2 linked regions of the Rattus norvegicus genome follow. The protein of the gene in region 1 purifies or fractionates together with the protein of each later gene. This does not show direct contact. Links are inferred from orthologs where the notes say so. Each region holds a gene or a part of one and is shown on either strand. Other genes may lie near its edges.

Region 1 (4,599 bases):
AAAAAAGTACATTTCCCAAGTCCTGAAGTTAAACTTCTGAAGACATGTCAGGACAGTGAAAGAGAAAAGAAACTGTGGCACAACCCGCCCACCCACCTGGCTTAAGTGGAGCAGACAGCACCCTGAGCTCACCCCCCACTCCCTCAGAGCATGGGGCCAGTGCGGAAGGAAACCACTTCTTTCTACCCTGCCCATTTCTCATACATACTCAAGGGCTCAGTCTTCTTACGTGTATTTCACCCAACACTGACAAACCTACTGCTTTACCCGTGCAGATGACAGTGCAAAGCACAGTAAGGACCAACATTGTCTTAGTTGGTCAAAGTCAAAACAGCAATATTTATTTCAAATGAAAAACTCAGACCTACAAAATTAACATTCCTACAGGTTTCAAACCATCTACAACTTAAGGAATTATTAGGCCATAGACAAAACTACCTAGGTAGGTGCAGTTTGTAGCAGAATACTTCTTTTAAGTATGACACTAAGTGTATGACTTTGTTCCAAACCAGAGCTTAATGTTAGAAAACTTAAAACCTTGCTACTGGTGTTTTCCTCACAGCTGCTAAACATCAAGTCCAGCACCAGTTTTTGAAATAGGTCAGAAGGGAGACAAAATGAACCATTCACTTTCAAAATGTACAGCTCTCACTGGGTCTCTAAAAACCTTGATGTCTACTTTTGCAGCTATCAGACACAACTAGTTTTCTTTAAACCTTGCTGTCCTTAGTTTTAAAATAAAGAGCCTAAGCTGCAGGAGGAAAATCCTTCCCACTTCTGAGAATTATAAAACTGGTTAATACTAAGCATCAAAACAGAAGAGGACTCCATCACATCTTTCTCATCACTGTTTCAATATTAAAGTTTTATTTTCTCTTTTTGTTTGTTTAATGGTGTCTAGGGCCTTAGGCCTGCTAGACACTAAGCCTTGTCTCCATTGCTTATAATGAAGCCCAAGCAACACGCTGCCCCCAAACAATAAATAAGCAAGCACAAACTACCCATACAAATTCACCACAGCAGAAATAACAGAAGGGATAAACTTTGGGGTATGCAGTCCTACTCAGAACTTTTTCTATGTAGCTTCATCTAATCTAGGTTTAAAACACTTTTTTTGTCTTATTGCTAACAGGTGAGCCTCAAGTCCCTTTCCAAGGACTCTACTTAAACAGAACCTGGAAAGGAAGAAGAAAAGAAAATTAACTCAAAAGCAGACTTTTTCCGGGCTCTAGGTTTAGGAAAGGAAGTAAGTGGCAAGCAGTACTTGTGGATAATTCACTTAAGTCTTCTCTCCCAGAACAAAGTTTTAATCAACTTTTACAACTTCTTTCCTCTGCTGCCCCAAATTATTATTTCCTCCATCTTAGGGTGTTTAAAGCTTCCATTTCCTAGTATTGACAGGAGGGTTCCTTCTAAAAGAGCTAACAACTGGTAGGTCGTAGTTGGCTATCAGTATGGTTCATTAATCTTTTGGGTTAAAAGGAATAAGGTCCTACAACGCCGCCTGTCTGTAGACCCAGGAAAAACTATAAAGAGTTATGAAACCAGATCACTAGGACATAGGCCTCCCTGTCCCAATCACAATCAAACCTGGGTGCAAAGCAGACGCTTCTTCCCTACTTACTTGACAATAAATAAGTAAGGTTAACTAATTAATTAAATAAAAGAGGGACCTGGCTTGATTATTAAGGGAGAACCTGATGAAGCACTACATACACGCGTAGAGCACCAAACAAGAATTTTTATGTACTAAGCCATTTGTAAACGCATACGTATGGATGTAAGATCGGCTCATCCAAAATCTTTCATAAATCGAGTAAGTGATGATCACTTCAGCCACAAGCTGAAAGAAAGAAAGAAAGAAGGGAAGAAAGAGAGAGAGAGAGAGAGAGAGAGAGAGAGAGAGAGAGAGAAAAGCCCTGCAGCGAAAACAGTATGGAAAAGTACAGCTTCTCACGTGTCTCTCCCAGATACAAATACTTAGCTCCGAGTCCATTACAATCTTACCAGCCCTCCAGAATCGCTCTCCGCCGCCACCTTACACTGACAGAAAACTACCAACCTCGCAGTGGGTCCCCCAGAGACTCTCCTACCTATTATCTTACCCCTCCCGCTTTAGCTCCGCCCCCGCCCCGGGAATGAGGTGGCTGTACTGGCCCCGGAGAGACCACCCTCCTGCCCCAAAGTGCCACCCGGGAATCTAACCAATCCCTCCGCCCTGAACCCTGTGAAGAAGCATCCTAGGCTAACAAGCTCCTCAGCAACTCCGTGCACTCTCTGGTCCTCCCACCCCCACGTGTCAGCTACCCTCCCCCACATTCCCACACCTCACGACTCCAGGCCGAGCAAAGAAAGGGGGCAGGCGAAAGCCTGGTCCCCAAGGCAGATCTTAAGCCCCCGAGGGCTCCGTCCCACCGCAAGTCCCCTCCCACCTTAGGCCCTTCACGGTCCCTTCCGCCCTCCTCGAGGTGAAACCAGGCCCTTGCCTCAGAAACCTCCTCTTCCTCGTCGTCGTCGTCCTCCTCTTCCTCGCTGTTGTTGCTGCTGGTGCCGCCGCCGCCTCCTCCTCCGCCGCCGCCGCTGTTGTCGCTGTCGCTGCTGCTTTCGCTGCTGCTGGGGGGTCGGCAAGTCCGGTTCCGCTTGGCCTTGTGGTGCGGCTGCTGCGGTGGCTTCTTCTTCAGGAGCAGGTCGCAGACTCGCACCATCCCACGAGGAGACGAGGCCGAGCGAGCCCCGCCGCCGACCTCCGCCGCCGCGGGGGGGGCCGCCACTGCCGCCGCCGCCGGGGGGCTCCCTTCTCCCTCAGCCGCCGCCGGAACCGTCGCCTTCTCCATCCCCGCGGGAAGAGGGGGGGACGCGGACGGGGGAGGGGCGTGGGGGCTCCGCTCTACCGCGACTTCGGCCGCGCCGGGGCCGACACAGCGCTCCGGGCCGCCGCCGCCGCCGCCACCGCCTCGGTCACCTCTACTGCCGCCGCCGCCGCCGCTCCGCCAGCTCTCACCTCGTCTCGCGATACTAAGGGCGGGGAGCTTGGCGATGGGAGGGAGAGAGGGAGGGAGTGAGGGAGCGGGAGGGCGAGGGGGGGCGAGGCGGAGCGCGAACGCCGTGCCCGGGAAAGCGGAGCAGGCGTCCGGAAGGAGCCGCTGGGGAAGTGCGCCTAGAATGGCTTCCCTGGGGAAACCGAGTCTGAGCGGGGACCGCAAGCAGGGGCCGCGGGAGGGCGGGCGGGCGAGCAAGCGAACGAGCGAGTGCCTGGATGGCTTGTCTTCTCCGCGTTACTTCCCCCACACACAGCCCTGCAGCCCTCCCTCCTTCCTTCCTGGCTTCTGATTAGAACGCAGCCGCAGGCGGAAGCGCGAGTGACGCCATCAGCCGGCGCCCCGGCGGCCGCGCGAGGATCTCTGCCTGCTTCTCCAAAGTGCAGACTCCAGGGCCGCGGAGTAGGGTCCCCCACGAGCGTGCGGGGGTGCAGGGAAGCGGGGGCAGTGGGATGGAGAGCAGCGGGCCGGGGCTGAGTGGGAGGCGAGCGCGGAAGCGTGGGGCAGCTGTGCGAGCAGGAGGCCTGGCCTCCAGATCCGGGAGGTGGGGCCTCGCCCCGGACCTCCTGGACGGACTTTCCTGCCTGGCCATTTTCTCCACCGCCTAAGCCAGAGGGCTTTGGATCTCCGGAGAGAAACTTCGTGAAAGGAGAGAGAGAGACTCCTGCCAGGTCCAAAAGAAAACTGTTTCCCCTCAACCGTACCTTGGAGCGATTCTGTCCTCACTTGATAAAACTCTTGCCAGAGTTGTCTCGGACTGCCTAAACCTGACTTTTACACCTTTGTAATATGCAGGAATTGAGTAGTGAAGTTTAAGACCATACGGTTCCGAAGAGGTGGATGGGGGAGCGGTGCCAGCATTGTATGCATTTCTGGGTCTGGGTTCTGAGATCATTTTAAGTACCTGGAGAACTTGCAGACAGATTGAAATGTAGCTTTCTTCTTGAAACAGTGTAGCTCAGGCTAGCCTTGAACTGGCGATTTTCCTGAGATGATATTAGGTCTGCACACCACCACGTCATGTTTATGTAGCTTATTGAACTCAGAATTAGCCACTTCTGGTCTAGTACGAGTAGTGGCATAAGGAAAATAAAGCAAACATCAAAGACAGATGTACTGGCACAAGATAAAAAAGTGCCTCAACTGACAGAGTTGCCATTTTAAGACTTCTAAGTTTAGCTGAGTGCCTGATTTTTTTTTATTTTTTGCATTTTCTTTTTAGTACTGGCATACCATATGAAATGTGGGCAGTTGCCAGTACGCTACAGAGTACCACAGAAGAATTGGTGATGACTAAATCAATTCATTCAAGCAAAAATTCATTATGTGCCTACTGTGTGTGTGATCTATGAAATCAGAGTCTGTGTTCCCAGGGGCTTCTCTGTGTACTGTGTGCAATAGCAAATATACAAAGTGCCTGCCTTTTTGCTGAGTTCCGCTATACAACATTGTACAGAACACTGTATTATGTATCTTGGTTCCAGTGGGATCTTGGCCATTTTCTATATTCCTCAGCACCTTTGTGTCACTTTCCACCTGAATACCTTTTGCAATCTTTGAA
Region 2 (4,486 bases), on another chromosome or scaffold:
TCAGCCTGGCCTGACCTCAGGCACAATCTTACACCCAATCCTCCCTGTCTTCAGGTTAGATACACTGTTTGTCCTGTGTGGGCATTTTAGAAATATCCTGTGTCTCCAAGGTTGGGATCTGTCCTTATTTTCTTTGGATGAGAGAGGAAGAGAATATAGATATACTCGTCCGTTCCCAAGCTCTTAGAGCAGCTGAGAAGGTGATACAAACTTGAGGCACGGGAGGTGGTCTGCAGAGTATCTGAGAGACAGGAGGGTTTGTGAGTGTCTAGAGCTAGAGCAAGCATGCCAGTTTGGTGGTTGGAAGATGGTGACTGAGTCCCCAGGAGGACTTAGCAGCCTTCCCTCCTTATAAAACCAAATCTAAACCAAGTCTTGGGATGGGATTTCAAAGAGAATGACTAATTTAAGGAGAGAGCAGGAAAGAGAGAGAGAGAGAGAGAGAGAGAGAGAGAGAGAGAGAGAGAGAGAGAGCTCTCGGGCTCCAATATGAGGGTCTGAAACTTCAACATTTCTAAGACAATTTCTCCCAGTATCTAGATTTAGGGGCACGTCCTTGATTCTAAAAATCTGTAGCCAGGGATTATCGTCACATCATTTTGCACGAGAGATAAGATGGATGAGAGACCAAGTGAGGGCTGCAGGAAGAATAGAGATGCAGACAAGTAAAGTTCCCTAGGCTGGGGTTTCCCCTTCCTCCTTCACTCTTTATCAGCAAGTTTAGGGACTACTAATTTCTTTCTCCAGGGCCCCAGTCTCAGTCAAGACTGCAGTCAGGATGGCTGAGCTGTCTTGGGCGTAAGGATGTAAGGACGGCTTGCCAGAAGCAAGTGGCCTAGAGGAGCAGCCAGAGGGAGAAGCTGGGCTCACATACCCCTGGCATTTCCTTCTGGGTCTTCTATGCAGACGGATCTGGTTTGCCCTCCTCTAAGCTCGAGAATTGGGTTGAAGTCGTGATAGGATAAACCTAAGCTTAAAAGGGGGAGACAGACCTCATAAACAGTAAATGATTTTCCAAACCTGCGAAGGAGAGTGCTTCTTCTTTCCTTGTTTCTAAAATGAAGCAGAGAAGCGGACCCGTCCGTTCCTGAGCACCCCCCCCCACCTTACCAGCACAAAATTCTAGAAACAGACTTTCCCCCTTCATTCTCTCTCAACGAGATTCGAGGGCATTTACCCAGCTCTCCCTTGAGGGAACGGGCCCATGCCACGCAGGGGTTAACTTTTCTGAAAACACAATTAACTTTTCCCTATTCCTGCGTGGGGTGGGGGGAGGGTGTATTTATTTCATCACTGGGAAATGGGATGATCTCCATCTAACTGTTTCCTCCTCCCTCAAAAGCACAGACGTCTCTTTCGCAGATCCTACGTAGGTGGATCAGGGCGCGTTGTGGAGAGAGAGAGAGAGAGAGAGAGAGAGAGAGAGAGAGAGAGAGAGAGAGAGAGAGAGAGAGAGAGAGGAGGGGGAAAAGGTTGATAGGTTTGTGCGCGGGTCCCTCGTGCAGGCTGCGCTCCTCCTGGGTGCTATTTGACAATTCCTGCCTCTGCCATTGGTCAGTGTTGGATCAGATGGTTGTATTTCCTTCTGGCCCTCACTGGCACCTCGCCATCCCCCCTCAGCTAAAACCCAATCTCGGCTATACTACTAATAGGCGCGGCGCTCGGACTATAAAACACAACAAATCATAAACCCGGCGGAGCAGCAGCGGCCGCGCGCGCCTCCCCTCCCGATGAGTTCCTATTTCGTGAACTCCACCTTCCCCGTCACTCTGGCCAGCGGGCAGGAGTCCTTCCTGGGCCAGCTGCCGCTCTACTCGTCTGGCTATGCGGACCCGCTGCGGCACTATCCCGCGCCTTACGGGCCGGGACCCGGCCAGGACAAGGGCTTTGCGGCGTCCTCCTATTACCCACCAGCCGGCGGCGGCTATGGTCGGGCGGCGCCCTGTGACTATGGGCCGGCGCCTGCCTTCTACCGGGAGAAGGACGCGGCCTGCGCCCTCTCCGGCGCCGACGAGCCGCCCCCGTTCCACCCCGAGCCGCGCAAGTCCGACTGCGCACAGGACAAGAGCGTGTTCGGAGAGACCGAGGAGCAGAAGTGCTCCACGCCCGTCTACCCGTGGATGCAGCGCATGAATTCGTGCAACAGTGAGTGTGACTTCCCGCTGTCCCACGCAGGGGGGAGGGAGGTGCGGTGCAAACAGAAAGGCAAAACTAGCGAGTGTCAGCATCCTCTCACCCCAACTCTCCTACTGGGAACTAGATGGGCATCTCAGCAAATAGGGCAAGATTGGGCCCTGGCCTCCAGATCAGTCCTCCTGCCCGCAGAAGTTGCAAAGTTTGCAAAGTCCCAGCTGCACAGTAAGGCAGGGGGAGTAAGTGGGCTCTCTGAGAGAGGAGAGAGTCAGGCTAGGATTATTGATCAGGAAGAGGACAGGGGACTCAGTCTCTGATTTTGCTTTCCTCTATATTCTCCGGATATATTCCCTCTCTTGTCCGGATCTGCGGGGGGGGGGGTGTCCCGCACCCAAAGACCACTCCATTAAAAACAAGAGTGCGTCATGAAAGGGGAGGGGTAGCATGACGCCTGCAAGGGCGAGTTTACAGGGTCCTGGATTGTGTTTCCCTTGGGCTGGGGGAGGGGAACTGGGGACGGGGGTACTAGGGAGCTGTGAGACACTACCACAGGGGTAGTATAGTCTGAGGAAGGAAGAATGAGAAGGGACAGGCGGAGGGAGTGAGAAGAACAAACTGGCGCCTGGGTCTCACGTTGGTTTATTTGTTGGCTTCAAGTCCCAATTGATGTCCATTAGCACGACACGAAAGTGAGGAGCTGTTAATGCGGACTATGAATCGATCCGTGTCATTATGGATTAAGGGCCAGAATCTATCATCGAGTAGGGCAGGGAGAGCTGGATGAATGGAAAGAAGGGAAAGAAAAGATACAGCTCGTAGGAGACTCACCTGGCCAGCCCCTCCCCCAAGCTCAGGTGGGAGTCAAACTGCCCCTCCCCTCCCCCACCGAAAGTCTAGACAGAAAGAAAGCACAGCACAGGCCTCGGAGTCCAGGAGGGAATCTGGAGGGGGCGCTGGAGGAGTGGGAAACGGGGATCAGGGAATGGGAGGGGGAAAAGACAACTCCCGACCGGCTAGCTTTACGTTTGAGGGCCCAGTGGGGGAGGGGCTATGGGTTTGGTGTGGTGACCCCAGGCCTCAGTTTCTCCTCTCTGCGTAACAGGTTCCTCTTTTGGGCCCAGCGGTCGGCGAGGCCGCCAGACCTACACCCGCTACCAGACCCTGGAGCTGGAGAAGGAATTTCACTACAATCGCTACCTGACCCGCCGGCGGCGCATAGAGATCGCGCACGCCCTGTGCCTGACCGAGCGGCAGATCAAGATCTGGTTTCAGAACCGGCGCATGAAGTGGAAAAAGGAGAGCAAACTGCTCAGTGCGTCTCAGCTCAGTGCGGAGGAGGAGGAAGAAAAGCCGGCCGAGTGAAGGTGCTGCCAAGGGAGGGGGGACGCGAAGGGAGAGGTCTGAGGGGGAACCTAGGGCACCCGAAAGCCCCAGAAGGCTCTGCGGTCGGGGGACTTGCTGTCCAGCGCAAGACGGGCGGGGCCCAGCGCTTTCCTGGATGCCCCCCTCCTGCAGAGCTCTTCCTGGGCGCTTGAAGGATGCCCACCCCAGCACCCCAGCGCCTCCTCCCTCCCCGAAGAACCCACCTTGGCCTCAGCAGGCTCTCTGGTGAGAACTGAGAATCGGACTCACTTGATGTCTCCTGGAAGCAGAGCAGAATGCTCTTGTCCTTGTCGAGTCTCATTTCCTTCATGTCCCCCGTGCACGGTTCAATGGTAGATTCGCTGTCCCCTCAGCAGGGACCTGAAAGACTCCCTGACCCCAGACTTGTCTCTCCTACCCCCTCCCCAAAGCCACTGGAAGGAGCACATACTACCTAGAAGTAAGAAGAGGAGCCTCAGAAGAAAACAAAGTTCTATTTTATTAATTTTCTATGTGTTGTGTTTGTAGTCTTGTCTTAGCTCTGGACGTGAAATACTTCGGTAATAATATTAATATTATTAATAATGATTATGATGATGATGATGATAATAAAGATGTGAAAACCCGCAGCTCAATCACATCCAATCCTTCCCTGTCATTTTTCCCCCTCCATAGCCCCCAGCCACCCTGTCACCCCTGAGCCTGAACAGCAAAGGCAAGAACCATGGTCTGCCCCAGGGCCTCAATTCGGAAGTTACAGTTGAGATAAAAGTGAGGAGTCAAAAGCAGAGGCCAGCGATCGGTCCTCCCAGGCCCCAGCGTTGGTCGGGCCTCTCTGATGCTAAATTCACAATTGCCTCTCCCACTCAGAGGTGCGAGATGGAGAAAGCCTTTTTCCTCTTGTTCTCTAAGCTTGCCTTGGTTGTGAGACTCTGGAGGGATTCCACTTGAGGCCTCCTTGCCCAGAGCTCTGGAGAGACCGAGCTGGGCG

The links.
Region 2: the proteins of Ankrd17 (region 1) and Hoxb6 purify together in Homo sapiens (co-immunoprecipitation; 3 studies listed by BioGRID and IntAct, with this or other methods). This does not show direct contact. The link is inferred for Rattus norvegicus from reciprocal best matches to the Homo sapiens genes ANKRD17 and HOXB6.

What each region holds. Positions count from the first base shown.
Region 1 is NC_086032.1:18,007,229-18,011,827, reverse strand, and holds the start of Ankrd17 (ankyrin repeat domain-containing protein 17), read right to left. Parts: upstream 2,970-4,599; 5' UTR 2,835-2,969; coding exon 2,487-2,834; intron 1-2,486.
Region 2 is NC_086028.1:81,759,865-81,764,350, forward strand, and holds Hoxb6 (homeobox protein Hox-B6), read left to right. Parts: upstream 1-1,606; 5' UTR 1,607-1,730; coding exon 1,731-2,145; intron 2,146-3,235; coding exon 3,236-3,495; 3' UTR 3,496-4,133; downstream 4,134-4,486. UniProt on the Homo sapiens protein: Sequence-specific transcription factor which is part of a developmental regulatory system that provides cells with specific positional identities on the anterior-posterior axis.